4 linked regions of the Alligator mississippiensis genome follow. The protein of the gene in region 1 purifies or fractionates together with the protein of each later gene. This does not show direct contact. Links are inferred from orthologs where the notes say so. Each region holds a gene or a part of one and is shown on either strand. Other genes may lie near its edges.

What was found.
Region 2: the proteins of MAP3K7 (region 1) and RIPK2 purify together in Homo sapiens (affinity purification with western blotting; 4 studies listed by BioGRID). This does not show direct contact. The link is inferred for Alligator mississippiensis from reciprocal best matches to the Homo sapiens genes MAP3K7 and RIPK2.
Region 3: the proteins of MAP3K7 (region 1) and CARD11 purify together in Homo sapiens (affinity purification with western blotting; 3 studies listed by BioGRID). This does not show direct contact. The link is inferred for Alligator mississippiensis from reciprocal best matches to the Homo sapiens genes MAP3K7 and CARD11.
Region 4: the proteins of MAP3K7 (region 1) and IRAK1 purify together in Homo sapiens (affinity purification with western blotting; 5 studies listed by BioGRID). This does not show direct contact. The link is inferred for Alligator mississippiensis from reciprocal best matches to the Homo sapiens genes MAP3K7 and IRAK1.

The regions. Positions count from the first base shown.
Region 1 is NC_081824.1:77,998,321-78,005,178, reverse strand, and holds the start of MAP3K7 (mitogen-activated protein kinase kinase kinase 7), read left to right. Parts: upstream 1-3,843; 5' UTR 3,844-4,206; coding exon 4,207-4,296; intron 4,297-6,151; coding exon 6,152-6,241; intron 6,242-6,858. UniProt on the Homo sapiens protein: Serine/threonine kinase which acts as an essential component of the MAP kinase signal transduction pathway. Plays an important role in the cascades of cellular responses evoked by changes in the environment.
Region 2 is NC_081826.1:47,120,865-47,128,273, reverse strand, and holds the start of RIPK2 (receptor-interacting serine/threonine-protein kinase 2), read left to right. Parts: upstream 1-4,392; 5' UTR 4,393-4,435; coding exon 4,436-4,614; intron 4,615-7,409.
Region 3 is NC_081836.1:51,790,084-51,797,310, reverse strand, and holds the start of CARD11 (caspase recruitment domain-containing protein 11), read left to right. Parts: upstream 1-4,204; 5' UTR 4,205-4,220; coding exon 4,221-4,350; intron 4,351-4,572; exon of another isoform or gene 4,573-4,865; coding exon of another isoform or gene 4,866-4,878; intron 4,879-7,227. UniProt on the Homo sapiens protein: Adapter protein that plays a key role in adaptive immune response by transducing the activation of NF-kappa-B downstream of T-cell receptor (TCR) and B-cell receptor (BCR) engagement.
Region 4 is NC_081831.1:28,784,312-28,791,316, reverse strand, and holds the start of IRAK1 (interleukin-1 receptor-associated kinase 1), read right to left. Parts: upstream 3,021-7,005; 5' UTR 2,930-3,020; coding exon 2,815-2,929; intron 1,829-2,814; coding exon 1,661-1,828; intron 1,252-1,660; coding exon 1,084-1,251; intron 1,007-1,083; coding exon 897-1,006; intron 522-896; coding exon 354-521; intron 32-353; coding exon 1-31.

The sequences.
Region 1 (6,858 bases):
GTGAACCTTACAAACAACTATAATTGGAATTCTCTCCTTTGTGTTCCTTGCTCTCATCAACAAAAAATAAAGGTAGCATGACTGTAGAAGAAAAACAGGGCAAAAATATACTTGGCAGCAACTGGAATTTGCTTGATATGTATTCTCAAAAGAGGCCTTTGAGTCATGAAACAAGCCAAACCTTCCATTAATCTTACTATTATCTCATTTTCTCAATATCCCACAAACCCATGTTCTAGCTTGTGAACAAAATGAATATCACTACTGTATAATGTTCATAGGACATTATATGCAGGAAGACTCACTCCTCAGATTCAGTTAGCCTTAGAAATTAAATATAACGTAAATGGCTTTATGCAGTAAGCCAGAACTGTGGAAGGAAATGTGTTTTTGAAATATGTGTTTTCAAAAACAACAAAAGGTGTCTAGGGAGTAGCCTTACAGTTTCTGGAAAGGAGAAATATTCCAAAATAGACATTTTACTAAACAATAAATTGTGATTAATTGATAAGATTGCTACTGGCTTGGATTAATCAGAGGGAGCAGTGTTTAGGGCTTAAAATAATATAACAGGGTAATCTAAATATGCTTCTTGTAATCAGAATGGGTTGAAAAAGGCAACTATTGGCCCATTTGTTTTGTAGGGGAGGGTTGCATTTGTTTCTATTTTTGGCTAAATTTTCATCTCTTTAAATTATGTTATGAAATGCAGTTGTTATTCCAATGTCATCTGAGTGTCTTGTGCCAATATAGAAGATCAGATAAAAAACAATGGAGACATAGGTCCAAGAAAGTAAAACCATGCCATGGAACAAAGCAACAGATCTAGAGACAGAATTTGAGAACTGATCAACATGTTGGCTCTTCTGAAGAGCTAGCCATCAATCTCATGATGGGAACCAGTAGGTACTGGGCTCCTTTAAAAATCTGGCCTCAAGTATGAGTATCGAACACTTAAAACACTATTCTCTTCTGCTCTCATAGCAATGTGAAGTGGTACAGAGTAGAAAAATTAAACAGCTGTGTCAACAATCTGTACAACACTGATAAAAATTGCTATGGAAAGGAATATATATTTTTAGTGTATTTAAAAGCCTTTTGATATATTTTAAAAGAATCTGGAAATAGGTATACAGGCAGCCCTCCCTCGACTTACAATGTTTCAAGTTACAATGTTTCACACTTACAACATTTATAAATTGACACTGTTTCAACTTTCTGATGCCAGTTTTGACTTTACAACGCTTGACCTGATGTGACGCCATGACAGTGAACAAGTCGCTGTGTCACCCATCTCCCTGGAGAACATCTGTCCAAACTTCCTTGGACGCTTTCTTTAAGAAAGCAGACAAGGCTCCAGAAAAACCTGCAGGCAAGACTCCTGAAAAGACTCCAGCCAAGAACCCTTCAAAAAGTCCAACAAAGTCACCTCAGAGAAGTCCTTCCAAATCAATATGTTGCTATTTACAATATAAATACATTAATGTAGCTGTGCTACTCATCTATAATTGATCGAATACAAAATTCTGGGTTATTTTTGGTGAAAATAAGGTACCAGGCCTTGGTTCAGGAACCAATCCCCTATTTATAACATTGTTTCTTATGAGAAAATTGGTTCTGAGTTACGTTTCGACTTAAGACGCCGTTTTCAGGAACCAATTATGTTGTAAGTCTGAGAACTACCTGTATATTGAACTTGTTATGATTTTCATAAGAACGAGATTTTGTTAATAGTTGTTATCCAAAAAGAGTGGTCCATGCTTTGAGTACCTCACAATCTAAAGCCCTTTCCAAGCTAACATGGACTAATGGTTAAGACCACACTCCTGAACACCATACAGTGGTAATCACCTAAACACAACCCTCTTTTGTTATATGGACTGCAAGTGATTAATTCCAGCTGCTTTTTACAAACTCTAGAGTTGATATTAGGGGCTAGTGCAGCCAAGAAAGGGTAGATGTGGGATCACCAGCTTTTACTTTGTCTCTCCCACCCCAGAGAAAAGAAAAAAAAGCCGGTAGAGGGCCTGATATACCACTGTGTTACTCTAGGTTTATGCTGGTAAAAATCCATTGATTTCACTGGCGTTAATCTAGAATAATATGGCAGTGGTAGTTTCCTTTAAAATGTAATAATAGAATCTTCTAATGAAATCAGAAAATAAGTAATGCAATCAGCACATTAGCCCTTGTGTTAGTTATTTTGATATTGAATTCCCCACGCAGCATTTTGGGATGGGATAACATATTTGTTGTTTGATCAATAGTGACATTTAAACTGTCATCTTCAATTTCAGAGCTAACACCCCATTAGTGTGAGTGAGAACAGCCAACTTTCCCGAACTAATCTTTTAGGCTATTTGCCGACCCAGCAGAGTGATATTATCTGTAACACGTGGTTCACATTTCAAGGTTTCTTTATAATCATATGACCATTAAAGTTAAAAATATTAGAAGACAGGCAGATACTAGGACATAAGGAAGAAAATATGACTTAAAGAAAGCAATCCCTTATTGCCAGCAGATTTAAGAAGGGGGAAGAGTATGGTCACACACATCTGAGTATGCTACCTTTATATCCATAGGTAGATATATCTATCTAAGATTTAAGGAGGGAGGGGTTGAGTGTATGTATGTAGACACACATAGGAATGCACTTCCTTACATCTCTAGCTAGGGAGTTATTTCTATCTATAGATTTAACAGAGGTATGTTTATATAGACACACATACATGTACATTTCCTTACATCTATAGATAGATATTTCTATCTATAGATGTGTGTGTGCGTGTGCCTGTGTGTGCAGACATGCACATTCGAGTATATTTCCCTACATCTATAGATACATATTTCTATCAACAGATCTATAAAGGCTGTGTGTATCTGTCTGGACACGCATCTGAGTATACTTCCTTACATCTATAGATACAGCGAGAGATATTTCTAGCTACAGATCTAAGGGCTGTGTGTGTGTCTGTCTGGATGCACATCTGGGTACACTTCCTTACGTCTACAGATAGATAGATATTTCCTTCTATGTATCTAAGGGGGGGGTATTTAAGGGCGTATGTATCTAAGGGTATGTGTATGTGTTTCTATCTATAGATCAAAGGAGGGGGCGGGGGGGGGGAGGGGGGCATGTAGACACATCCCAGTACACTTACTTATATCTCAGGCTAGAGAGATACTTCTATCTATATATTTAAGGGGGGGTGCAGACATGCACAGCCAGGTATACTTCCTTACATCTACAGATAGATATTTCTATCTACAGACCTCTCAGGGTGTGTGCTTCTACCTATAGATCTAAGGGGGTGTGTGTGTGTGTTTACTTCTAGCTATAGAGCTAAGGCGGGGGGGGGGGGTTAAACACCTCCCAGTACACTTCCTTCCATCTCAGGCTAGAGAGATACTTCCTATCTATAGATTTAAGGGGGGGGGGGGGTGCAGAGACGCACATCCCAGTGCACTTCCTTACATCTACAAATAGATTTACAGATAGAAGAGTGTGTGTGTGTGTGTGTGTGCAAACACACACATCCCGATACACTTCCTTCCATCTCAGGCTATAGAGCCACGTCTATCTGTAGCCGTCGGGAGAAGGCGCGGGGAGCCGCGCACATCTGAGGGCGCTCCCTAACCTCTGCAGACAGCTGTGTCTCTCCGTAGGGCTCAAGGGGGTACGAGTGGGGGAGGGGGAGCCTAGAGCCGGCCTTGCTGTGGCGGGACCTTCCTCCCGCCTCCCTGCGGACCAGGGCCAGCGCGGGGCGGGCGGGGCATCCTCGGCGCCTGCCTCAGCTCGGGCGGCGGCGGCTCCCCCTGGCGGCCCGGCCCCGGCAGGAGGAGGAGGAGGAGGTACCAGGCGCTGCGCGGGGCTCCCGGGCCGAGCGCGGGGGAGGAGGAGGCGGCGCCGCCAGGCCATGGCCCCGCTCCGGCGGCCTTAGCGGCAGCTGCCGAGTGCCCCCCTCCCGGCTCTGAGCGGCGCCTTCCCGCCTCAGCCCCGCCGGGGCTGGCGGAGGCGGCGAGCCCCGGCCCCGCCACTCGCTCCGCCGGGGCCTCGCAGGCAACGCGAGCCGCAGGCCCCGGGCGCGGCCTAGGCCGGCGGAGCGCAGCGGGCGCCCGCCAGCGCCTCGGATGCGGCCGCCTCCGCCAGCCCCGGCCCGGCCCCGCTGAGCCCGCGCCGCCCCGGCCCGGCCCGGCCCCGGCATGTCTGCGGCCGCCTCGGCGGACATGATCGAGACCCCCCCGGTGCTCAACTTCGAGGAGATCGACTACAAGGAGATGACCGTGGAGGAGGTGCGGGCCGGGCCGGGTGCGGGGCCCGCGGGGAAGGGGCGGCCTCCAGCTTTCGCCCCTCTGGGCGAGAGGGAGCGGGTTGGGGAGAGCCTGAGGGCCGGAGCAGGCAGGTGGCAAGGTGTGCGGCCTAAATGCCCTGGTGGGGGGCTGGGGGAGAAGTGGAGTAAAGGAGGAGGACACCCCAAGTGAGACAGGCCTGTGCCAGGCCCCTGGACAGCCCTCCCGTTCCCGGGGATAGGGTGGACTTCATTAGATTCCCACAAGTTCCCCAAAAAGAGCAATTCTCAACCAGGGAGACCAATGGGCAATGCACTGAGCCCTGGCTTTCAGCCTCTTTTCACTTGTGGACCCCTAAAAAATTTCGAATGGAGGTGCAGAGCCCCGCAGTTTTAAGTGGGGGTATTCAGACACTTTTGATAGATCGTAGTGCTCATTCACCAACCTGTTAGACATAAGTCTGTAGACCGCCAGTTGTCCATGGACCACAGGTTGAAAACCGCTGTCCTATCTGTGTGTGAGAGATATGTGAGTATATGCTATATGGAGTATACAGGTTTCCTTCGCTTTATGGAGGTTCTGTATGTGTGAATTCGCTCTTACACGATGACCCTTTTTATACCAAAAATTCATTATATGCAAGGTAAATTCACTCTTATGCAATTGGTGTGGTGGAAGTCTGCAGTCAGCTGCTTTGCAGTGCATTGTGGGAGTGACGCACACCAAAATATAGTCTTTTATGTGGATCAGTGCTCTTCGCTCGTTGTCTGCGACAGGTGTCTCTGTAGTTGCCATCCCCGTTATGGTAACATTCACCACCACCCTGTGCTTGTGTGTACTGTCTGCTGTTGGTGAGTACCACAGTTGTCTTGTAAAAGTGGTAGAAATGGGTCTGAGGGTCAGTACAGTCTAGGTCTTGGAACGTATCCCTATCTGTTACATTGTATGCGTAATCAAGTTACGTGCCGTTTTCCAGGAATGCATGTACAGCATAAAGCGAAGGAAACCTGTGGTAGTGTGTACAGCATGCATACACCATACATTATGTGCATTTGGGCTGTAAATACTGATTAAAGAAAATATCCGTTTAACCTGTTGTAATTACAACAGTTACATGATTACTTGGTATGGCAACCCCCAGGCTGCTTGTGGACAGCAGTGGGGTGCGGGGGTTAGGGGGGGACTAGTACCTAGTAGCTAAGCTCCACGGACCTCAGTACACTGGCTTGCAACCTCCTTGCTGCCTGCCGCAAACAGCTCGGGCTCTTAGATAGGCAGCAGGGGCCTGTCCAGAGCCTGGGCTGCTTGTGGCAGACAGTGGGGAGGCTGCAAGCAGCTGCAATTGGGGTCCGCAGAGCGTAGCTGTAGATACTCTGTAGATACTGTATCTGTAGATACTCTGTAGAGCTGTGCGTCTCTCACTGGGGTTGTAGAGAGACAGCAGCAAGGCGCCAGACTTCCATGCGTAGACCCTGAGATGGTGCAGAGTCACTTGGAAGAACTGGATGCCTTTAAGTCGGCAAGCCCGGATGAGCTCCATCCGAGGGTGCTGAAGGCACTGGCCGACATCATTGCAGAGCCACTGGCGGGAATATTCGAACGCTCGTGGCGCACGGGCCAGGTCCCGGAGGACTGGAAAAGGGCCAACGTGGTCCCCATTTTTAAAAAGGGGAGGAAGGAGGACCTGGGCAACTATAGACCAGTCAGTCTCACCTCCATCCTTGGCAAAGTCTTTGAAAAAATTATCAAGGCTCACATTTGTGAGAGCCCGGCAGGAAAAATTATGCTGAGGGGAAACCAGCACGGGTTCATGGCAAGCAGATCGTGCCTGACCAATCTAGTCTCTTTCTATGACCAGGTTACGAGACGCCTGGACACAGGAGGAGGGGTGGATGTCGTATACTTAGACTTCAGGAAGGCCTTCGATACGGTATCCTACCCCATACTGGTGAGCAAGTTAAGAGGCTGTGACGTGGATGACTACACTGTCCGGTGGGTGGCGAATTGGCTAGAGGGTTGCACCCAGAGAGTCGTGGTGGATGGGTCGGTCTCGACCTGGAAGGGTGTGGGCAGTGGGGTCCTGCAGGGCTCTGTCCTTGGACCGATACTCTTTAATGTCTTCATCAGTGACTTGGACGAGGGAGTGAAATGTACTCTGTCCAAGTTTGCAGATGACACAAAGCTATGGGGAGATGTGGACACGCCAGAGGGCAGGGAACAGCTGCAAGCAGACCTGGACAGGTTGAACACGTGGGCAGAAAACAACAGAATGCAGTTCAACAAGGAGAAATGCAAAGTGCTGCACCTAGGGAGGAAAAATGTCCAGCACACCTACAGCCTAGGGAATGACCTGCTGGGTGGCACGGAAGTGGAAAGGGATCTTGGAGTCCTAGTGGACTCCAAGATGAACATGAGTCGGCAGTGTGACGAAGCCATCAAAAAAGCCAATGGCACTTTATCGTGCATCAGCAGATGCATGACGAATAGGTCCAAGGAGGTGATACTTCCCCTCTATCAGGCACTGGTCAGACCGCAGTTGGAGTACTGCGTGCAATTTTGGGCGCC
Region 2 (7,409 bases), on another chromosome or scaffold:
CCCCACCCAACCTTGCATCCTATCTCTGTAAATGAAAACAAAAATACTTTCCTCCTAGGTTCCCTCGCATTTCTACCCACTCCCCCTCCCTGCCTCACACCCACGACATCCCCTTCCCTCTTTCCTAACAACCCACCAACCCATATTTCCCTCTCTCACAGGCTGTTCCCAAAATCCCACCCCTCCTACCCTTCCCCCAAAAGAAACACATTATTTAATTTAAACAGTTATAATGAGAAATACAATTAAACCCCCTGTTCCCACTGAAGGGAGTACCAAAGCATCACAGCATTTGAGGTAGTTCCCATTCTAAATGTAATGAATACAAAAATTAAGATGAATACCTTGGTGTATTATATACATATTTTTTATGAGAATGTTTTACATATCAAAGCACAAGCAATAAGACATAATACAATATTACTTGTATATAAGTAGAAATCTATACATGCACATTCAGGAATATATTAAAAATGAAAGATGAAAAATGATTGTCTCCATAGCCATGACATTCTTCTCTTCACACCCCTACTGGGAGCTACCTTAAAGGAGTATGTCTATATTAATTCTTCTCTACCCTGGGTTATTCATACATATAGAGGGCTAGGCATGTCCGTGATTCACTCTGCCCTGCACTCTATTCCATTAATTTATCGCTGCGAGTCCATGATATCTGTTAAAGTACTATATATGTTTTTAACTTTAATAAAAAGGTGAATTAGGAGAACTATAGTATATTTGCTAAATATGCAAATACAGGCCCTGATACCTGTACCAGTAAAGAGAAGCATATTAATAAAGTGAATAAGGAAAATAAATCTTTGCGGTAGTAGGGCAACTGCAGATAAATTCGATTCTTAATCTTTTAAAATTGCAGTATACAGAACATTTCTATAGAAAATAAATCCATATTAAAAAATGAAGTCTCATGGCACTTGCCTTAGGACTGTCCCTGTGATGTGCTGGTATTTGCAAGTGGATATTTCTACAGCAAAGCTGAAAGCAGCTGGAAGGGAAAAGAAGGGAGAGTTCACACTCATGACTGCTGGGGCCCAGTTTCCAAACCACATCCGGTCTAACTCAAATGAGTTCCTTGGCAGTCACCACTTACCCAATTTCTACTGTTCTGTCTAGTGGTAAGGGTTGGGGAAAGAAGAGGGAATCTGTCAAGCAAAAGTGGCAAATTGCAAAGGATTCCATATGGACAAAGGCTTTGCCATCTGCCTTTCTGAAGGCGATGAAGACTGAGCTGTGGCACCCTATTTTGGTTCATAGATGTAGGGTCAGAAGGGACCTGAGCAGATCATCAAATCTGACCCCCTGCCCTGGGCAGGAACGAATAGTGGGCTTACATGACCCCTGGTAAATTTAAGCTCGTATGACCCCAGCTAGGTAATAATCTAGCCTCCTTTTAAAGACCCCTAAGGTAGGAGCCAGCACCACTTCCTTAGGAAGCTAGTTCCAGATCCTAGCCGCCCTGACTGTGAAGTAGTGCCTCCTGATGTCTAGCCTGAACCTGCTCCCAATCAACTTGTGGCCTTTATTCCTTGTTACTCCAGGAGGTGGTCGGGGGAACAGGGCCTCACGCATTTCCCTCTGGTCCCCCCTGGTAAGTTTATAGACAGCTACTAGATCGCCTCTCAGCCTTCATTTGTGAAGGCTGAACAGGTTCAGGTCCCATAGCCTCTCCTCATAGGGTCTGCCCTGCTGCCCCCTGATCATGCAAGTGGCCCTCCTCTGGATCCTCTCAATGCTGTCCATATCCCTCCTGAAGTGTGGCTCCCAGAACTGGACGCAGTACTCCAACTGCGGCCTGACCAATGTCGCATAGAGGGGGAGGATCACCTCTTTGGACCTGCTCATGCTGCATCTGTGGATACATGACAAGGTGAGGTTAGCCTTACTGACCGCATCCTCACATTGGTGGCCCACGTTCATTTTAGAATCGACAATGACTCCAAGATCTCTTTCTGTCACTGTGCTTTCGAGAAGGGAGTTCCCCAGCCTATAGGTATGCTGCTGGTTATTTCTGCCCAAGTGCAGTCCCCTGCACTTGTCAGTATTGAATCCCATCCTATTCACATTTGCCCACCCCTGTAACCTGTCCAGGTCCAGTTGTATCCTGTCCATCCCTTCTAGCTTGCCCACTTCACCCCAAATCTTGGTGTCATCAGCAAATTTGAACAAGGTGCTTTTCACCCCCTTGTCCAAGTCGCTAATAAAGAGATTGAACAGTGTGGGCCCGAGGAACAAGCCCTGGGGGACTCCACTGCCCACATCCCTCCAGGTCAATTGTGACTCAGCCACCACTACTCTGTGGGTGCAGCCGCTCAGCCAATTTGTGACTGTGTAGGCATCAATGCCACACTCGCCTAGCTTTTTAATGAGAATGGGGTGGGAGACAGTGTCAAAGGCCTTCCTGAAGTCCAGAAAGACTACATCCACCGCGACACCTGCGTCCAATGATTTTGTGACCTGATCATAGAAGGCAATCAGGTTGGTCTGATGGGACCTGCCCCTAATGAACCCATGCTGGTTGCCCATGAGCATCATCCTCCCTGCTGGTCCCTCTCAGATGTGCTCCTGGATAATTTTCTCAAAGAGCTTCCCCAGGATCAAAGTAAAACTAACGGGCCTGTAGTTGCCTGGGTCCTCCCACCTTTTTCTGAAAATTGGGACCACACTGGCCTTCTTCCAGTCTTCTGGCATCTGGCCAGAGCACCATGAGTGCTTGTAAAGCTGTGCCAGGGGCCCTGCGATGACCCCTGCCAATTCCCTCAGCACCCAAGGGTGGAGAGCATCTGGACCTGCTGATTTGAACACATCCAGCCCCTCTAGAAGTTCCCTAACTCAGGTCCTCCCTGACCCCAGGCCTGATGGAGTCTCTCCAGAGTCCATCCTGAATCCTGGTATGGAGGCAAAGAATTTGTTTAAAAGGTCTGCTTTTTCATCTGGTGCAACTACCAGATTGCCAAGCATATCCTGGTGTTTCCTTCTCCAGTATTTACACATGATCAAAATCTAGAATCATAGAAAAGCAGGGCTGGAAAGGACCTCTCAAGGTCATCTAATCTGCCCTTCCCTTCCCCTCCCCCAGGATCATCCCTAACCAAGCAGCCTGTACAAACCCAAATCTAATGTGCTACAGAAGGAGGCAGAACTGCACCCCCCCCCCCCCAATCTGTATCAATCTAACTATGGGCTAAAATTCCTTCCTGACCCCCAGGTTGGTGACTGGTCTGACCTTAACCAGAAGTGCAAGACCCTCTAGCCAGGCCTACTTGAAGCACAAAAAGAGCCTGGGCATGTGCCCACACAAGAACAGTTAGCCCCACCTGTTGTTAGGGGGAGCACCAGGTGTGTGCCAACTTTGTTCTGGGGGCAACTTAAAAGAATAACAGATGGGAGTGAGGGGCAAAGGTTGATAAGTACTCCAAGAGGGACACTGAGCAGAGCACATTGGCTAGCACCCACTGGAACGAGCCCAAGAAGCCAGTGGATACTGCCCAGCAAAACTCTGCCCCAAGATGGGACCAGATGAGAGGCCCTGCAGCATCTGGGGGCATGAACGCCTCGTGCCTCCTGAGGCTGGAGGGGCAGTGACCACCCACAGGCAGCAGCGCCGGTGGCAGGGCCTTTGCAGTGGCGAGCACAGACCACCTGCAGGCAGCCACGCTGATGTTGCAAGCAAGGGGGGGCTGAGCAGGGACCACCCGCAGGTGGCCGCAGCGGTGTTGGTGGCGGTGGGCAGTGCCAAGTGCTGACCCATGGTCGGTGACCGCCCCCAGATGCCACCGGCAGTGTCACTGGCAAGGGAGGGTTGTGATGAGCAGCAACCGCCCGCAGGCGCACCCAGCACTGTTGGTGGCCGCCAGACTGGGGGGGTGCATGTGCACCCCCTATGTGTCACCAGTGGGTGGGGGTCCTCTGGGCCAGGGCCTCCTTCCTAGTCAGGTAGCTGGCAGCTGGGCCAGGGCCGGAAGGAGGTTGACCAGGAGGTCCCAGGACTTGGTAGGGGCACGGCTGGGGAGGCCATCAACAAAAAGGTGCAGGGAGTCGCCTCAGCAGGTGGCTGTGGTGAAGGCGGTGAAGGGGGCACAGCCTGGCGCACCCCAGGCAGGCGTGCGGCGGGGCAGCTGTGGGGGTACCCACGAACCACCCCAGACACGCTGCTGGCGACGGCTCCGTGGAGGAGCTGCAGGCCCAGGCCCCCCGGGATGGGGCTGCGGGCTCCCCTGAGGGTGCCTGGGCACGGCCGAGCGCCTGGAGCCGGCGGTGGGACAGCCCTGTGGCTCCAGCCCCGCTCCGGGGGCCCTGGGACAGGAGCAGCCCGGACGGGGCGCGGCGGGGCCGCGGCGAGCGGAAGCCGGAAGCCGGTGCTGCCTCCCCCCCCCAGCCCCGCCTGCGCGCGGGTGCAGCCGGGCCGGGCGCGAGGATGAGCAGCGGGGATGCGCCCCCCGCCATCAGCTGTGCGCTGCCCGCCGTGTCCTCCAGCAAACTGCCCGACCTGCGCTTCCTCAGCCGCGGCGCCTACGGCACCGTGTCCGCGGCCCGCCACGCCGACTGGCGCATCCCGGTGGCCGTCAAGTGCCTGCAGGGGCCGCTGCTCGACAGGTACCGCCATCCGGGGCCGGGGGTGTGCTGCGTGCCCGGCTCGCGGGGGGCGGCAGCGCTGAGCGGTCGCGGCCTCTTCCCCGTCCCACCGCAGCAGGGCCCAGCCCGGGGCTCCCGCCCGGGCCTCGCCTTCCCCTGCTCGGCCTGCTGCTCTGCTCTGCTCCGCCGCACCCCGCATGAGGCAGCCCTGGGACACACGTAGCTTGGCCGGCCCTGCCTGCGAGGAAGGGTGACAGCCCTGGCGGTGGCCCCGTGGCCTCTTTCCATCTGAAGCTGCTCAGAGTGGTCCTTTCAGATCACTTCGCCGGGCCTGCCCCCCCGCCCCCTCCCCCCAGGTCCAGTGGTTCACGGGTGTAGGTTGTAGCCACGCTGGGGCAGGCAAGGTTGTTTGGGTCAATCAGATATCTTTTATTAGACTAACATTGTTGGAAAAGTTCATCTTGGCAAGCTTGGTTCTCCTGGAGGAGTAGGGCTGGCCGGGACCTGCAGGGGCCACCTAGTCCAACCCCCCCTGCCCTGGCTTATTATACTCTTATTCTTGCCTCCTTATATTATTTTTCTTAATTGAATTGCCAGACATTGGTTAGTTGAGTTTTAGCTGTTTTAGTTTTGGCTGCCTGGGGTACAGTTAGTGGCTCAGTATTGATATGCCCGCTTCTGTCTCTAGGTAGGTCGCAGCCTCCGGCATCTCAAGTGCTGCCCGGTCAAGTGCCTTTTAAGTCACCAGCTCAACTTCCCTTTGAGCAGAACCAGACGCTCTCTGACTGTGGCTATGAGTGGTTACAAATCCTTCGCCCTACCCCCCTTGCCCACACAGATGCTTTTGCAGGGGTAGCAGCAACCTTTGGCCTACTGAGTTTCCATTTAGGCCAATTGATGCACATAGGCTTTGGGCAAGGCTTACAAAGAAACTCTGAGCTCTCTCCTGTTGTTTTTGGGGATCACTAACCATGCATAAATAGATTGCAGGGCACAACAGAAGGGAAAACGAGTGGGGTTTGGGTTGATGGTTACTAACAAGTGCTCCAGCTGAGCAGAGCTCACTAGCCCATGCCCACTGCTCTCAAACGAGTCAGAGGAGCCGGTAGACACTGCTCAGTGAAACTGCCTGGAGACATGACTGGCTGAGGGACAGGAAGACATCCCTGGAGTCATCAGGGGTCTTGCTAACCAGAAACTCCTTCCTGGTCTGATAAATGGCTAGCAGTTTAGCTAGGGCCAGGAGGAGGTTGACCAGACGTTCTCAGGACTTGGTGAGGCCATGGGTGCAGGATGCGGAGTTTTCCTTTTGGCTTGTTTGATGTGCCAAAAAAGCTCATGGACCATAGCCCATTACGAAATGTATACGCCTCTCATTAAGAAGAGAGGCCACTGAGGACACATCAACTAAACGTCGGGGACAACAAAAAAGAAGTCAGGAACAGAAATGATGTCATAAGTTAAAAACTAGGGCTACAAAAGTGGACACCAAACAGCACACTGGCTTGGCACCCACTGCCCCCTGAAGGAGTCAAGGGAGCCTGTAGACACTAACCAGTGAAACTCCATCCAGAATTGTGAGCGGAGGAGTGCCAGGAAAGCAGCCCCACACTCGCCTGGGTTCCTCCCAGCCAGAGCCTCTTTCCTGGCCTTACAGATGGCCAGCTTGGCCAGAGCCAGGACCAGGTTGACCAGGAGGTCCTGGGACTTGGTGGGGCCATGGGTGGGGAATGCAGAGTTTTCCTTTAGGAGCCTGTACATAGTAATAGTATGTGGTGACCCAGAAGCAGCTTCTCTAAAACAAAGTGTGATTGGCTTTGCCAAAAAGCACACAGTACTTTAAAATGGTACTGAAAATGAGAGTCCTACATGCATTCTGTTTTACCTGCTTTCAGCTTTTGTATCGTTCCCATAGATTAGCAGGCAGCAACCTTTTCTGGCTGCCAGCCAGAATGACCCACCTCAGTGCGTCTTCCTGTAGGAGCACAAGGACAGCTCCCATTGCTGAGGTGCCTGCCTGCTGGATGCCACCCAAAGCTCCACATCCACAGGCAGGATCCAATAGCTCTGTGAGCCTGATCTGGCCTGTGAGCCATAGGTTGTTGATCCGTGCCCTAGGTAGAAAAGAAATAACTTGATGTTGTGTCCTCTGTTACAGCATGCTTGCTAACACTTTCCATGTTATCTGAAGAAATCAGTGTCTTTTAAGAAAATCATTGTCTTCAGATCTTCCTCTTCTCACCCTTGGCATAACAGCTTTGTGCCCTGATTGTGGCTAAGTCCCTCCTGATGGCTATAAACTCAGGCACTTTGTATGTAGTGATATTCTTTATTCAGGAGATGGTTATTCAGGCACCTTCTCTGCCTGGCTTCTTTAACAACCTCTTCAGATTTAGCGTAATGCATTTAAGCAGGATATGTCATAGAGGTGCATTGAGAACAGGATGATATTTCTTCAGTTCTCCACACTGTCTGAAAGCACATGGAAATTATTTAAAAAGTTAGGAAATGACTCGAGATAAGACAAAAGTTATCAAAGCAAGGAACTCCCAATCATGTGATATAATATGCTAAATATTAGAAACTAAGGACAAGTTATTGAGTGTTTCATCATCCAAACTCTTGCCACTTCCCTTTCACATATGTAAACATGCTTGGCTCTTACCTTTGAAAACTTACCACAGTAATGCCTGATCAGAGTTCAGTCAGAACTCATCCTTTTTTTTGCCTCACTATGGTAAATTTGCTTCTTAATGTTTCTAAATGCCATGTCATCCAAAGCAAAGGTGACTCACCCCTTCAACTTAAAAAAAAAA
Region 3 (7,227 bases), on another chromosome or scaffold:
CGAAACACCTGGCAAAATTTCTCACAGCCCTAGTTTCCAGGTTTTATGAAAGCCAATTTTAGGTTATTTTGCATTTTAGTGACAGGATTTTTAAAGTTAGTGAAGCATCAGCACTTGGTTAATTTGTCCGTAAGACTGATTAAGATGTAGTCTTTGAAATGCTGTTCATTTGCTTACCAGCACACTGGGAACAAAACAAAACCAGGGACAGATCACGTCTACTAGGTCTGTGCGAAGTGGCTAGTAATCGCTTCGGATTCAGCCGATTTTGGGGGACAGTGGTTCGATTCGGTGATTCGAATCACTGTCCCAATTCAAAGTCCTGAGCTGGGGTGGGTGGGGGCAGCCATGTGGGGGCTGGGGGAATGGGCGGGGGTTGGGGGGCTGGGGAGTGGGCGGAAGTCGGGGGGGCTATCAGAGGTCCCCCCATGGTCCCCTCCCCGCTCCCTTCAGCCCGCGTTCCCCTGTCCCTAGTACTTACCAGCTCGGAGTCAGCTCCAGCTCCCTGCTGCAGCCCCCGGGGACTGCCTGAATCATCAAAGCTCTCCGAATCTTTCCCGAAGATTCAGAGAGTTTTGAATCGATTCAGACCTTTAAATTGGTCCCCTGATTTGATTCAGATTCAGAGATTCAGCCACTGAATTGGGCCAAATCTCCTCTGAATTGAATCACCACCCAAAGCTTCGCACAGCCCTAACGTCTAATTCCCTGCTTGAGTCCAGGGTGAGCTTCAGCTCTGCCTCTTGAACCTTACATTGACCTATATTATCCAAGAACTCAGAGAAGGAAGGAGACTGCCCAGTGGTTTTCAACTTACCAGATCTCTAACCCTCTTCCTCTGGGGGCAAGGGAGAGGGAGTAGCAGTTTCACAAAGGAGTGGAAGGTGTGTGGGGAGTCTCAACTCTTACCTATATGGTTTCTAAATGGAAGTTAGAGTTGTAGGGCCTTTGGCCAGCTAAGAGCCTAGCTCCTCTCCTTAGTTGTGCTGCAAATTGTTCCTGTGCTGCAAATGCATGTCAGCTTCCTCTCCAGGGAAAAAAAAACAGGTGTGAAACAGTGATGAGGTGAGTGCTGGTGGCCTCAGTTTTTGCCATATTGTGGCATTGTTTTTTCTCAAAGGTATCTGGGTATTCCTTCCTGGCTTTTCCCCTTTCTGATGGCTGCACTTCCTTCAAAGCTGCAAAACACCATCTGTGCAGTTGTCATGTGGAAAGGCCTCCGCCTGCTCAGAGAAAGAAGCATCCGCAGGCTGCATCAACTTGATAAGCTTACTATGCCTGGCAGCAGTGCCCTCACCATGCCGTGCTCCTTCGGGTAAGCTGTATCTTTAAGCAGCAGCAACAGCGGAGCTGTGTCCACATGGCACCACTGCGAGTTAGCACAGGGCAGGCTAATGGTCACTGTCGCTCAGAAGTGCTCATTTGTCTGCCTACCGCACTGCCAGGACAGAGGCACACTGCTTCCAGATTAGGAGCAATCTGCCCAGAGCAGCACCCTGGCTCAGTAAGTTTGTTCTTTAGACGTAGCCTCAGCGGCTCAGCCCCTCCTCATTCCTGCCTGTAAGTGCACACCCACCCACTAAGCACATGGCTTTTATCATGGGCTAACGAGGCAAGGTTTGTGAGATGTCTGCAATAATATAATTAGCACCTCAGTGAGCAGCCCTCATTAAAAACAAGAGCGCACAGGGATAACGTGGGCTGTGTGTACATGCTCTGTGCTTCTCGGAAAAGTGGAACTCCTGCATCCTTCTGGCTTTTCACTCTTGCTATATGTATTAAACTAATTACCGTGTTTTTAAACTGGAGAGCTGGATTCTGCTTTAGTCTGAACCTTCATGAATTCCCTTCCACTGCCTCAACTTATTCATCTGCTCCATAGCTACCAAGGAAAAAGACACAGCTGCGCCCATTCCAAGGTGGGGAGTCAGGGTCAGGGAGAGCCTGGGAGAGAGGCAAGTGGCTGGGCTGGCCAGCAGCACTGCGCTAAGGAAATGTAGCCATCTCAGTACAAGATACACAGTCGCTTCCTTTTTAGAAAACACCTGTTTGTTTGGGATATAAGCTCTCAGATCAATGGTAAAACTCGATTTCTCTTGCATTTGTTCTTTTCATGGTCCCATCTCACTGTTTTCCCTCCATCTTCGTTGACCCTGATGTATCTCTAGGTATCTTGTCTACTGTCTTTATACTGTTATTTCCCATCTGTTGTGCTTTCCTCTGCAGTGTAACAACTGTTCCTTCCTTTCCTTTCCTCCCACTCCATCACCATCCTCACACCTGTGTTGTGGTCTCTCTTTCAATCCCCACGTCCCACTTCCCTCCACACCCTTCCCCATCCCCACCAACTCTTTGACTATCTGTCTTCTCCCAGCTATGTTCCTCATTCCCAGTCTTTTTGAATTCTCCCCTCTTGTAGCATCTCTTATTTCCCCCCACCACATACACATACACATGCGTGTGCTCACGCACTCTCTCTCTCTCTCTTCCTATGCCTGTTCCCCCATCCCCACCCTGGCACATACACACCCTCCCCTTCCAAAGGCTCCTTTTTCCTCTTTCCCCACCTTACTCCAGCTGCAGAGTTCAGTGAAGTGTCTGTGTGTCACTTGGGTCCATGGGCCTTGCTGAGGTGTTGATGGAAGAACATCAGCATCTGTGGAGGCCACACTAGTGGCAGCATAATGTGGGCTCACCAGCTGCAGAGGGGCTCTGTTCGGGCATGCCTGTGGGAGGATGGCAGTAGGGATAGGACTCTAGTGCTGAGTATTGGCCTAGCACAGCTGGTGGCCAGTGTGACAGTCCCTTGCCTGACTCACCGGCCTACGGTGGCACGGATGCATGGAGCCCATGTGGCTGAGTTGGCACCGTGCCAGCCAGAAGTGCACTCTTGATTAGCCTGGAGCCCCAAGGCGATGGGCCAAAAGGGTGCCGGAAGGGGGTAAGAGGGAATGGCAGCCGAGGGACAGGAAACGGGTCTGGCTATTCTCCCCACTGCTGAAGAATGGAACGCTCTCCTTGGTGCTCGGGAAAGGAAGCAGGCACAGGCCGGGTGCAGCGCCACGTAGTAGCTGAGCCTCACCTGAATAGGAGCTAGCTGCGCCTCACCTGAAGGAGGCTCGTGGGGCTGCAGTGAGTACGGTGCCCACCGGGAGCACCAAAGAAATACTGCGGCAGGTCACCAGCCCAAGGGGCACAAGGGGCCCAATAAGAAGACATAAGGCCTGGAGTAACTTGTACCCCAAAAATGGGGAAGAAGCTGGGGGCGGCAAGGCACCAGTGCCCTGCCTGGCTGCCAAGCTGAGCTGTTTTGAGTTTATTTTATCTATTTAGTTGTCATTCTTTTATGTTCCTACATTAACCCGAGGCAGGACAGACCCAAACTGCAGCCTAACACTGTGGGGGCAGCCCGTGTGACAAATGCCTCCGATGTCTGAACAAACAGCAAAAACACCTGAATGGAAAGGGAAGGGGTGTAGGGGAGAAGGTGTCCTACAGAAGACGCATCTACAGTCACATCCAGCTCACAGAGGACCACTGGATCACATCCAGGCAAGTTCAGGGTCATTCTGGCACATCAAGTCATGGTGGGCAAGCAGGCCAGGTGTGACATAGCCAGGGGCACAGGGCAAGCCCATGATGCTGGGGCAGCAGTGCTGGGTGTGAGCCTCTCACAAACAGCAGCAAGGGAAGGGAAGGAGAGGGAGGAAAAGGCCCCTGCACCCCAAGTTGTCTGTGTCTCCGGTAAAAAGCTTCTTAGTTGTGTGCTGGATGGTGGAGGTCCACTGTGACCCCCTGCATGTAGGTTGGCCCAGGTCTGGCCCTGAGCCCTCAGCCCCGCATTCAGCCTCTGTGGGTTCTGCAGGGCAAGGCTCCACAGCCTAGTGATACCAACAGAGACTGTTCTTTGGAAAAACATTATTGGAAAAAAACCAATAACCTAATGAAATAAAAAAACCTGGATGAATATTGCCACACTTAACTTCCCTTTCTTAGAAACAGCAGTAAGAAGAGTCAATAACTTGGCTAGCACCCGGAGAGGCCTCTGAAATGCTTGGGAAAGATGGAGATGCCAACTTCCCCTGCCTAAAACTGCTGCTCTGAGAACTTTCTTTGCAGAGCAGGGAGCACTGTGGATGGCTCCTCCCTCTCCCTGCCCCCTCCTTCCTTCCCCTGCCCACTCCCTGGGCAGCACAGTGGTCAGGGAAGGCTGTCGCTTGATGCTAGGAAGGGGGCAGGACCTGCGTGCTGCTATTCAGCAGTTCTGCATTTGCATCGAAGGGGAGCAGGCTGTAGGCTGTGAGGACTGGGTGACGCAGAGGATCTCAGCTATGAGGCCGGGCAGGCAAGGTAAATCTTCTGCCTGGTCTTGGACTTGGAGCTGTGCAGCTGCTGAGGCTACCTGGGTGCTTTCTGGCTTGAGGATAGAAGTCCCTTTCTTTGCTTGCTGTGCTGTCCCTGGGCTCTGCTCTCACCTGCGTGCAGAGGCATTTGCAAGCAGCCAGTATCACTAGGGAGCAGAATGGTTGGTTGTTTTTTTTTTTTCAAACCAAGAGCCGATTTATAGTCTGGTTTCCTGTCAGATCTTTGCATTTTCCTCCTTCGCCCCTCCCAGCCTCTGACACACTTTTTCTTACTTTCTGTGTCGCCCTTTGTTCATTCCGACACTGGTGCGTTTGCCTCCTGAGTCTCTCCATTCCCCCCTCTCCTCCCTCCACCCTTGGCTCTTCAAAGAGTCCTGGCCCTTTCCCTTGCACGGCTCACCTCGCTGGAGCTCCTGGGGAGGGGAAAGGACGAGTGCATGGAGGCGACCTAGCAAGCTTCACCCTGCAGCAGCTGCAGCCCAGCCGCGAGCTCGGTCACTCATGAGCACCCAAGGTAAGGAGAGCGGCCCAAAGGCCAGCACCACCCCACTGGCAGCAGGGACAGCACCTGCCTGATCCTGGCAGCTTCCAGTTTCACTCTTTTTTCTTTGTTAATGTCTTTGCTCGCAGACGTCTGTGCAGGCTCCACAGGTCTCGTTCCACTCTGCAGACACAGATACTTGAAGCCCGGGTTGCAGAGAAGGAGCAAACAGGCCCACAGTCGTAGGGGCAAGAGCTTAACAAAATGTCACGAGGGGTGAGGAGGAAGGGGAGGACAGTGACTGGCTCGGGCTCCCCATGCGTTGTCTGCTGGGGGCTCACGCTTTTCCTAGGTAGCAGTAGCATCTTTCTGAACATGTTCTCCCTGCGTACTGCTTCTTCCCGCTTCCTTGGCTCTGCCTCCTTTGGCCGCGGTGTGTCTCTGAGGAGCTTCTCACCACCTTTTTGTCCATTTTCCATTAAGCTGCATCGCTGATTTAGTTAGTCTATAAAGTGCACCTCAATCTTGACCTCACACTGTCCTGGCTAGCTACCTCTCCCCCACATGCATAATTGTTCACCCTTCCCCCTCTGTGATTTCCTCCTTTTCTCTCTTGTGTTCCCCTTTCCCATCTCTTCAGTGGCTTCTCACATGCACTCCCATTTCCTGCCCCCCATCTCTCCCCCACGCTGCTGCCCGCTCTGCAGAGCACCCTTGCACCACTGCTGGTGTCTCCCCCCAGAATACCACCCTGCCGTGCTCCTGTTGCTTCCCTGCATCCCCATCCTCACTTGCAGCATCTGCTCAGGAAGCTCCTGCCCCGTGATAACCACTGGCACATGCCTGCAGGCTCCTTCCAGCTCGCACTCATGGGGCCACCCCCACAGCCCATCGTGCACAACAAACAGCCTCCTGCCACCCCCACTTTCTCTCACACCGACACACATATGCGGCCTTCTCATACCTCCCTTATCTCTCACCTCCCTTAACACGCCAGAGCCACATCTCTGCTCACATTTGCACGCCGGTGCAGCCTCTGATATGGCTCTCTCCCCACAAGTGTTCTGCTTTCCCCCCAGTTTCCCTCTGTGTCCTTCATCCTTCCCAGGTCTTTCCTCCCACTTGTCTGCAAGGTCTGATCTAGTCTCTCTGTCCATTTTCCCCGTCTCGCCCATCCCCAGGCTTCTCATTGTTTGCTCATTTCTCCATTGGCTTCCCTAGATTTTTTGCAGCAGTTTCTCTCCTGTAGCTCCCACTATAACGTACTCCTGAGGCTGCCCTGCTTTTGGGGATAGGAGCCCGCGGGGAGGTTGCTCAGCTGTAAGCTGTCTCAGGCTGTCTCAGCATCCCCACTGATACTTGCAGAGGAGTTGGAGGAAATGCTGCAGTGTTGGTGCTTCCTCTTTCCTTTGCAGGTTCTGCTGGTTGCAGCAGGGCTCAGAGCTGAGTGTTTGGAGTGGGTGGTGGGCAGATGAAGGGAATCGTTTAGTGCAAAATGTCCCGGGAAAATGGTAAGAAGAGAGGAAGTCACTTCCTTCTGCCACTGACCAAGAAATGTTTCAATAATATAGAAACTAGAAAGTGACTTCACTGTATCTTGGCCTCTCTATACTCTATAGAAGAGCTTCTGCTCTCATCACCTCCAAGAGATTTTGGTCCTGTTAAATCCCTTGGATTATCACATCCCAACCGTGAAGGCTTTCCTTACTAAAGCAGTGGCATGGGCACCACTCTTACAAAGACCTTGTGGCAGTTCAGCTTTGGAGAGCCCACCTGTTTTCTTCTGCACTGTTTTGCTTAGTCTCAAAGATCTAGATACAGGAGTAAAAGCTACATCCAGTGACACCAGCTGGTGTGGTCTCCTGAGTCACACTTGCAGTTTTAGGCTGGATTCTGGCTAAGAAGAAACCTCTTCAATTTGACATCTTGAAGGTTCGTACTCTATAAGCCAGACTATTTCAGGTTAAGACAGTGGCGATGCATATGGTGCGCATGGGGGTGCATGTGCACTCCCTGAGAGCGCTGGTGCACCCCCTGACAGGCCACGCTCCCCACTTAAAAGGGGGTAGAAGAAAGAGCTTCTGTAGCTGCAGGACAAGATAGGCACAAGAGGACTTACAAATAGGCCAGGTGATACCAGGACACTGGCTTCTGTGAGTGTGAGGGTTTCCTCTGATCCTGTGTTCCTGTGGTTGAGAAAGGACAAACCAGCCACTCTTTAACCTGCTGCCCCCCGTCTATTCTTGTCTTGGTTCAGACAGGTCCTCAGTGCCTAAGATATCAATCTCCTCTGGTCATGGGCAGTACTTTCACTGAAATTATTACGGTTGCATGGTCATAAGGGACCTGATTTTTGGCCTCTTACATTGTGCTTAACAAGTA
Region 4 (7,005 bases), on another chromosome or scaffold:
TATGGACAAGGTTCCAGTTCAGCTCTGCATCCTGGAGGGCAGGGGGGAAGTTAGTGAGAGAACAGGGGTCACCCTGACTTGGCACTACAAAGGGCTGGGGGGGGGGGGAGGAGGAGGAAGAGCAGAAGATGCAAAGGATTCAGGGAAAGATAATGGCTGGTGCAAAGGATGCTGAAAAAAGGGCCTATAGTGGGCAGAGAGGAAGGTCAAGGACTAGAGAGTGCAAAGGATGCTGGGGAGAGGACACAAGAGAGAGAAGCAGGCAACGCAAAGGATGCCTGGAAGGGGCCTATGGATTGGGGAGAAGGTAGAAGATGGGACAGCGCAAAGCATACCGGGAAGCCCCCCCTCACCTCCTTGAGGCGCTTGACAGCACAATCCGTGTGCCGCAGCCGGGCACGGTAGACACAACCAAAGCCACCTTCGCCCACCTTGTGCTGCTCTGAGAAACCGCCCGTGGCCTCCACCAACTCTGCCAGGGGCCATGCCAGGAGACGTGGGAACCCTGGGGGTGGCAGGACCTGGCGGCACAAACACATAGCCCACTCCCTTCACTGCAGCACAGCATTCTGGGGAATAGGGCAGCAAAGAACTTTCTCCCCTGTCCCAGACTCCATTTACCCAAAGGATTATGGGTAGGACCCACCCCAAAGGACTCTGGGTAATAGACCCAGAGCAGGACAGCAAAGGATTATGGTTATAACTGCTATGCCCCACCCCCACCCCCTCCCCAGAATTCTGGGTCAGGAACCCAGGGTCTGAGAGCACAAAGGATTCGGGAACAGCCCTCCTGAGCCAGAGAGCAAGGCATTCTGGGTACAGCACCCTCATCCCCACCTTTCCTGAAGAACCCAAGGGCCATCCCCCCACACCCCTAGTTAGCCCCTCCCCCTTACCTGGCTGAGAAGAGTCACAGGGTCAGGAGAGGTCACGGTGTCATGGCTGCTGGTGCTGAGGAGGCTGCGGGGTGGGGGGCCAGGGAGGGGCAACGAGAGGCAGGATGGCTCTGGGGGGCAGGGCAGGAAGTCACTGAGGGGGCAGGGGGTGACCCCCACCCTCCCCCAAACTCTGAGAGGCAGTTACCTGGAAGGGGTGGGACTGGCACGGGCAGAGCCTTTGGCGGGTCCCAGGGAAGGGTCCGAGCAGTACTGCAGGGGGCAGGGGGCACGGATGGCAGAGGCACAGATGGCAGGGGAGGGGCCAGGGAGGTGCTGTGGGGCAGGCGTGTCCATGGCTCGGGAGGGGGCTGCCCTGGGAAGAAATAATGGACCAGAGATGAGGTTCCCATAGCCCCCACAGAGACTCCCTTGCTCTACCCACAATTCCTCCTGTCAATCCAGAGCCCCCCACAGCTCCCCACCCTCTAATACTCCCCCAAATTCCCCCCTCTCCCCCAGAGACCCCCCACAGCTCTTCCTTCCCCCCCCTCCCCCCCCCACAACCAGGGTTCTGCCCACCAGGGACCCTGGGGGATATAGGCGGGGGCTGCAAGTCAGAAGTGAGCGGCACTGTAGAGCATAAGTGAGGCTGTGGATTGGGATTGAGGGCCACCAACATGCAGGGGAGCTGCAGGCTGAGCAAGGGTCCCTCTGGGGTATAAGGATGGAGATAAAGGTCAGTAATGAGGGGCACAGTGGGCTGGGTGGAGTGGGGCTCTCACAGCTGGCGATGAGGTCATGGGCCCAGTCCAACTCCAGCTCTCCCAGCAAGGCAAGCAGGTCGCCCACACGGGCATTGCGGTGGCCCCAGCTCCAGAGCACCCGCTGTGTCCGGCCCTCGCTGGTGCCCGCCAGCCGAAGCTCCACTTGGTCCCGCACCACTCTGGAAGCTGGGGGCAGGGCAGGGTGCGGGGCTTCAGGTTCCACCCCTGCTACAAGCCTCCCCCAGCAGTGCCCCCACCCACCAGTCCATTCTCAGTATAAACCAGTATAGCCACTGACTCCCCTATATCCCACCCAGTATAAACCAGCATGTCCCAGTAGTGGCCAGTGAATGCTGCCCTCCAGGCTCCTTCCATCCCAGTGGACCTCAGCTAGCTCCCAGCATGCATCAGGAGACCACAAGGCCTCCCAGCAGGCTCTAGTATGTCATGGTGACTCCCCGGTACATATCAGTATGCTCCAGTGACTGAACTCCCTGGACATCCCTGACTGGCCCAGTTTCCCCAGTGTTCCATGCCCCTATCCCAGTTTCCAACTCTCTCCCAGTTTGTTCCAGTCCCCGTCAGTTACTCCTATTCCCTATCCAGGGTGCCCTAGTCCCCGCTAGTCACTCCCAGTCTCTCCTCCAGTATGCCCCAGTCCCCACCAGTTGCTCCCAGTTGCCTTCCCAATATTTTGCAGTCCTCTGTTTCCAACAGTTGCTACTAGTAACCTCCCAGGATGCCCCCACCTCACCTACTCCCCTTCCTAGTTTGCCCCAGTGCCACCAGTCACTCCCAGTCTCCTCCCAAGTACATCCCAGTCCTTCCTGGTCCCCACCAGCTGCTCCCAGTTTGCCCCAGTCCCCAGCAGGTACTCCCAACTGCCTTCCCAGTGTGTTCCAGTCCCAGTTCTCACCACTTGCTCCCAGTCCTCTTCTCAGTATACCCCATTCCCCCCCTGCCACTTCCAGCCCCCCTCCCAGGATGTCCCAGAGCCCACCAACAGGCACTGTCAGTCTCTCTCCCAGTATGCACCAGTCTCCTACAGTCACTCCCAGTCCTCCAAGTCACTCCCAGTTTTCACCAGTCGTTCCCAGGTCCCTCCCAGGATACTCCAGTCCCCATCAGTCTCTCCCAGTATGCCTCAGTTCCTCCTACTTTGCAACAGTTACCGAAACGTTCCCAGTCCGCACGACCCAATGCGTCCATCAGGCGACAGAAGCTACACATGAGCCAGGCCGGGAGCTCATGCAAGAACCGTCCGGTGCCAGGCCCGGATCCGGCCATGCCACCCGATCCAGCCCGGTCCGCCCCAGAAAACCAATCACTTCCCCTTTAAGAGTGACCATAACGGCCCAGCAGGTGCATGCGCTCTAGCCTCCAGAGGCCCCCCCCCCACCCCCGCTTCGTGACGCCATCTTGAGTGTGGTGAATCTTAAGTCCCACCACGCCCCCACATAGCGTGGAGGGCAAAGGCAGTGCCATTCGGGGCGTGGCGGAACGAGAGAAACCCGGGCGCGACGCCAGTTTAGGAAGGGCGGAAGTTCCGCCTCTATTATAAGCGCATTGGCCTAGGGACCCCCCCCGTCGCCATCTTGAGTGTGGCGGAAAGGAAACCTCTGCCGAGAGCCATATGCAAAGTGGCAGCTTGAGGGGCGGGGCGTTATTACATAAAAGGACCTCATTGGCTGCTCTAAGGAGATGAGCGAGAGTCTTCCTCCCGCAAAGCACTCTGGGAGTGGGAGGGAGCAGTCGACAAAAAGCAAAGGGAGTCGCCTGTAGGCGTGGGCGTGGCTTGGGGTGGGAGGGGCTTGTAGACGGAGCTATGACTAGGGCAGCAGCTGGGGTAGTCTAAGTAGAGCTTGGGTTATAGATGGGTGAGGGTCTGTGATGTCATCAGGATGATGGCATCATGAGGGATGCCCCCAGTCCAGCTCCCCAGGTGATCTCATGCACTAACATCATTCCCACGTGCAGCATTATGTCATCAATACAGACACGACCCCATGGTGGCCCCTGGATCCCATTCTCCACTTCTTCGGGCTGTGGTTTCCTGCTTAGGGTTAGTACCCAGACACCCCAGTTCTATCACAGTTCTGGGGGGAAGCGGGGCCTGGTGGGCTAGAATGGGGAGCTGGGAGCTCAGGAGCTCAGGCCTGGCTTCTATGGAAGATCTAGGACAGGAGCAGGGTCTTGCAGGTTAGGAACTGTGAACCTGGACATCAGGGTTCTATCCTAGCCCTGAAGAGAAGCAGGGTCTGGGGATCTGGGAGCCAGGACACCTGGGCTCTATTTCACCTCTAGAGAGAAGTGGGGGTCTGCGGGTTACAGTGGGGAGGGGCGGGGGACCTGGATACCTGGGTTCTATCCTACCCTGGCGAAGCAGTGTGGCCTGATAGAGTAGGGAAGGGATTCACAATCAGGACCTCACTGCTGGGTGCCCGTGGCTGCCCCCTGGCTTCTCTCTGTGTCCCACAGAGGGGGGAGATCCAGGGTGTGGCAGGAGAGGCAAACTGCAGTCTCCCTTGCATCCCAGTAGCTTAGACATATTCCCACTCCTGGGGGCCCAAGGACCATGGCTTGATCCCACCAGAGAGTGAGCTGAGAGCAAATCCACCCTAGCTGTAGCTTCTCCAGCATGGTGAAGGGAGTGGATGCCCCTCAGCCCCATGGGGGGGCGGGGTCTTTTGCAATGAAGGCAAGGAAGTCATCCGTGGGTTAATTGTACATAGATTTATAGCTCGAGTCTAGCACAGAATACAGTACTTACCAACAAGAGATGCAATTATAGCACTGAAATAACCTATGCAGAGAGTTACTTGCGCTTGGAGTCTGGACCGAATTTTACATGGGGGGGGGGGGGTCAGAAATGAAGGAGGTCCAAAAATTGGGCAGGGTCCAAAATTTCTGGTGGGTAGGGGAGGGATAGAAACTCAAGGTGGCAAGGAACCAAAATGGGGAGGGAAGAAAGAAAAAGGTGACGCCTAGGCCCCAAGATAAGGGGAAATGTGGGTGACACGTTCCCCCCCACTTGTTGGAGGGGGATGCACAGCCATGTACACGCATGTGCTGAGCTGGGAGGGGGTCTGTTTCCAGTCACACATGGCTAAGGCAAATGTCTCCAGTGTCTCTCTGTCTCTCCCAGAATAAATAGGTGGGGTGGGGGGGAGCAGACACAGACAGGTACATTCGGGGGAAGGGGGGTGTCTCAGGCCTTGCTCCCCCCCCCCCCCCCGCTGGTATCTTTTTTGGGGGGGTTTTGTCGCTTTTTTTTTTACTGAAATGATACAAATTCCATCCTTTAATAAACTGCTTCAACCTCCCAGGGAATGACCCCTTCCAGCAACAGACTCCAACATGGGACTGGAGTGGATGAGCATGGATGGGGGATCCCCAGCTGCTTGCAATCTCCCCATTCCCCCTGGGGGGTGGAATCCGGATCCCCTGAGGCCTTAGCTGAGAGTGGGGGGTCTCTTCCCAAGTTGGAATTCAGTCCCTAGGGGTCACAGCAGGGCAGATGCCCCTCCTCTACACCCAGGCATGGTTCCACCCCATCCAGGCCCCCCAAAAGCCCAGCTCTCCATGATGACAGCCATGGCTCCCCAGCCATGGCCTAGGAGTCCCCCTCTATGTGTGCGTGGCAGTGGGAGGGGCCGGACAGCTGCACATGGGACCAGTGCAGAATATATATGTAGACCAGAGGAGAGGGAGCTTGTAGACCAGAAGAGAGGGAGCTAAGCCTGCTGTATACAGCTCCCATCACAGGGGCCAGCTCCGAAATGTGGGGAGGAGCCCACAGGAGCACGTGGTTGCGATGGAGGGAGGGAGCTCTGTGTGCATGATGATAACAGTCCTGGTGATATTTGGTCGAACAATGAATACCGAGGCTTGGAAGCTGGGAATGTGGTGGTTGTGGGGAGGGGTTTGATTGCATCAGTGGGACTGGGGGCCTTCCCCATTCCCCCCACCCAGTACCCCCCAGAAGTGGCCACCTGGGGCCAGTGTGTGGAAGAATGGTACTCCCCCCCCTTCCCCCAGGCTGCTATTGTTGACTGCGATGGAGCGGTAGGCAGGGCTGCCCTGCCATGTAGGTAACAGATGCCAAATAATGCCCCGTCCCCACACCCGGCATGAAGGTAATGGGTGCTGAGTAACTCCCCTCCACCCTGCTATGAAGGTAACAGGTGCCAAGTAACCCCCTAGTCATGAAGGTAACAGATGCCGGATAACTCCCCTCTGCCCTGCCATGAAGGTAATGGGTGCCAGGTAACTCCCCCTCCCCAATCTGCCATGAAGGTAAGGGGTGCTGGGCAATTCTCCTCTGCCCCACCACAAAGGTAATGGCTGCTAAGTAATCCCCCCTGTCATGAAGGTAATGGATGTCAGGTAACTCCCCTCCACCCCACCATGAAGGTAATGGGTGCCAAGTGTCTCCACTCCATCACCCTGGGTGGGAAAGGTGCTAGGCAGGAAGGAGTTAAGTCCTCAGCATTCCTTAGTTTTCTAACTAGCTCTGCCCTGAGAGGAGTGGGGGGGGACATGTCCCCTTTGATAGATGCCCCCTAAAGTGCAAAGCTTTGCCTCACAGGATGGAGCAGTTGGGGTGTGGCCGCCCTAGAGATGGACTATCTCCTCCCTTCCCTGGGCTGTCAGTCTCCCAGTACACAGTGTAAGACAGTAGCCCCCTGTGCCCAGCCACAGCTCCATGATGGGGTAGCTGGAAATGGAGTTACCCTCATAGCCCTGCCATGATGGCCCCCAATAGCCAGAGGACTCCACAGTGAGGCCTGGGATCTGACTGTATGATCCCTAACATGCAGGGAACTCTAGATTGCAGCCTATCCATGATCTGATCCCATGTGACCCCACCTGCATTCCAATATCCTCCCCTGGAACAGCTTGGCCATGATCTGACCCCACAACCCCACCTGCACCCCAATATCCAGGGAGCCCCACATTACAGCCTATGATCTGACCCATTGTGACCACCTGCACCCTAACAAAGAGAGGCCTGCCCATAATCTAACTCTATGTGACCCCATGTGTGCCCTGACATCCAGAGAACCCCACATCATGGCTTGTCCATGCCCTGACCCCGTGTGACCTCACCTGCACCCTGGTATTCAGAAAACCCCACAGCTGCACCTGTCTGTGATCTGACCCCATGTGACCCTCAATATCCAAGAAACCCCACATCACAGCCTGTCCATGATCTGACCCCTTGTGACTCCCACCTGCATCCAGATACTCAGGGAACCCCACGGCCCCATCTGCCTGTGTGTGACCCTATGTGCACCCCAATATCCAGGGAACCGCATGGCAGTCTGTGATCTGACCCCACGTACACGCCTATGTCCAGTGAA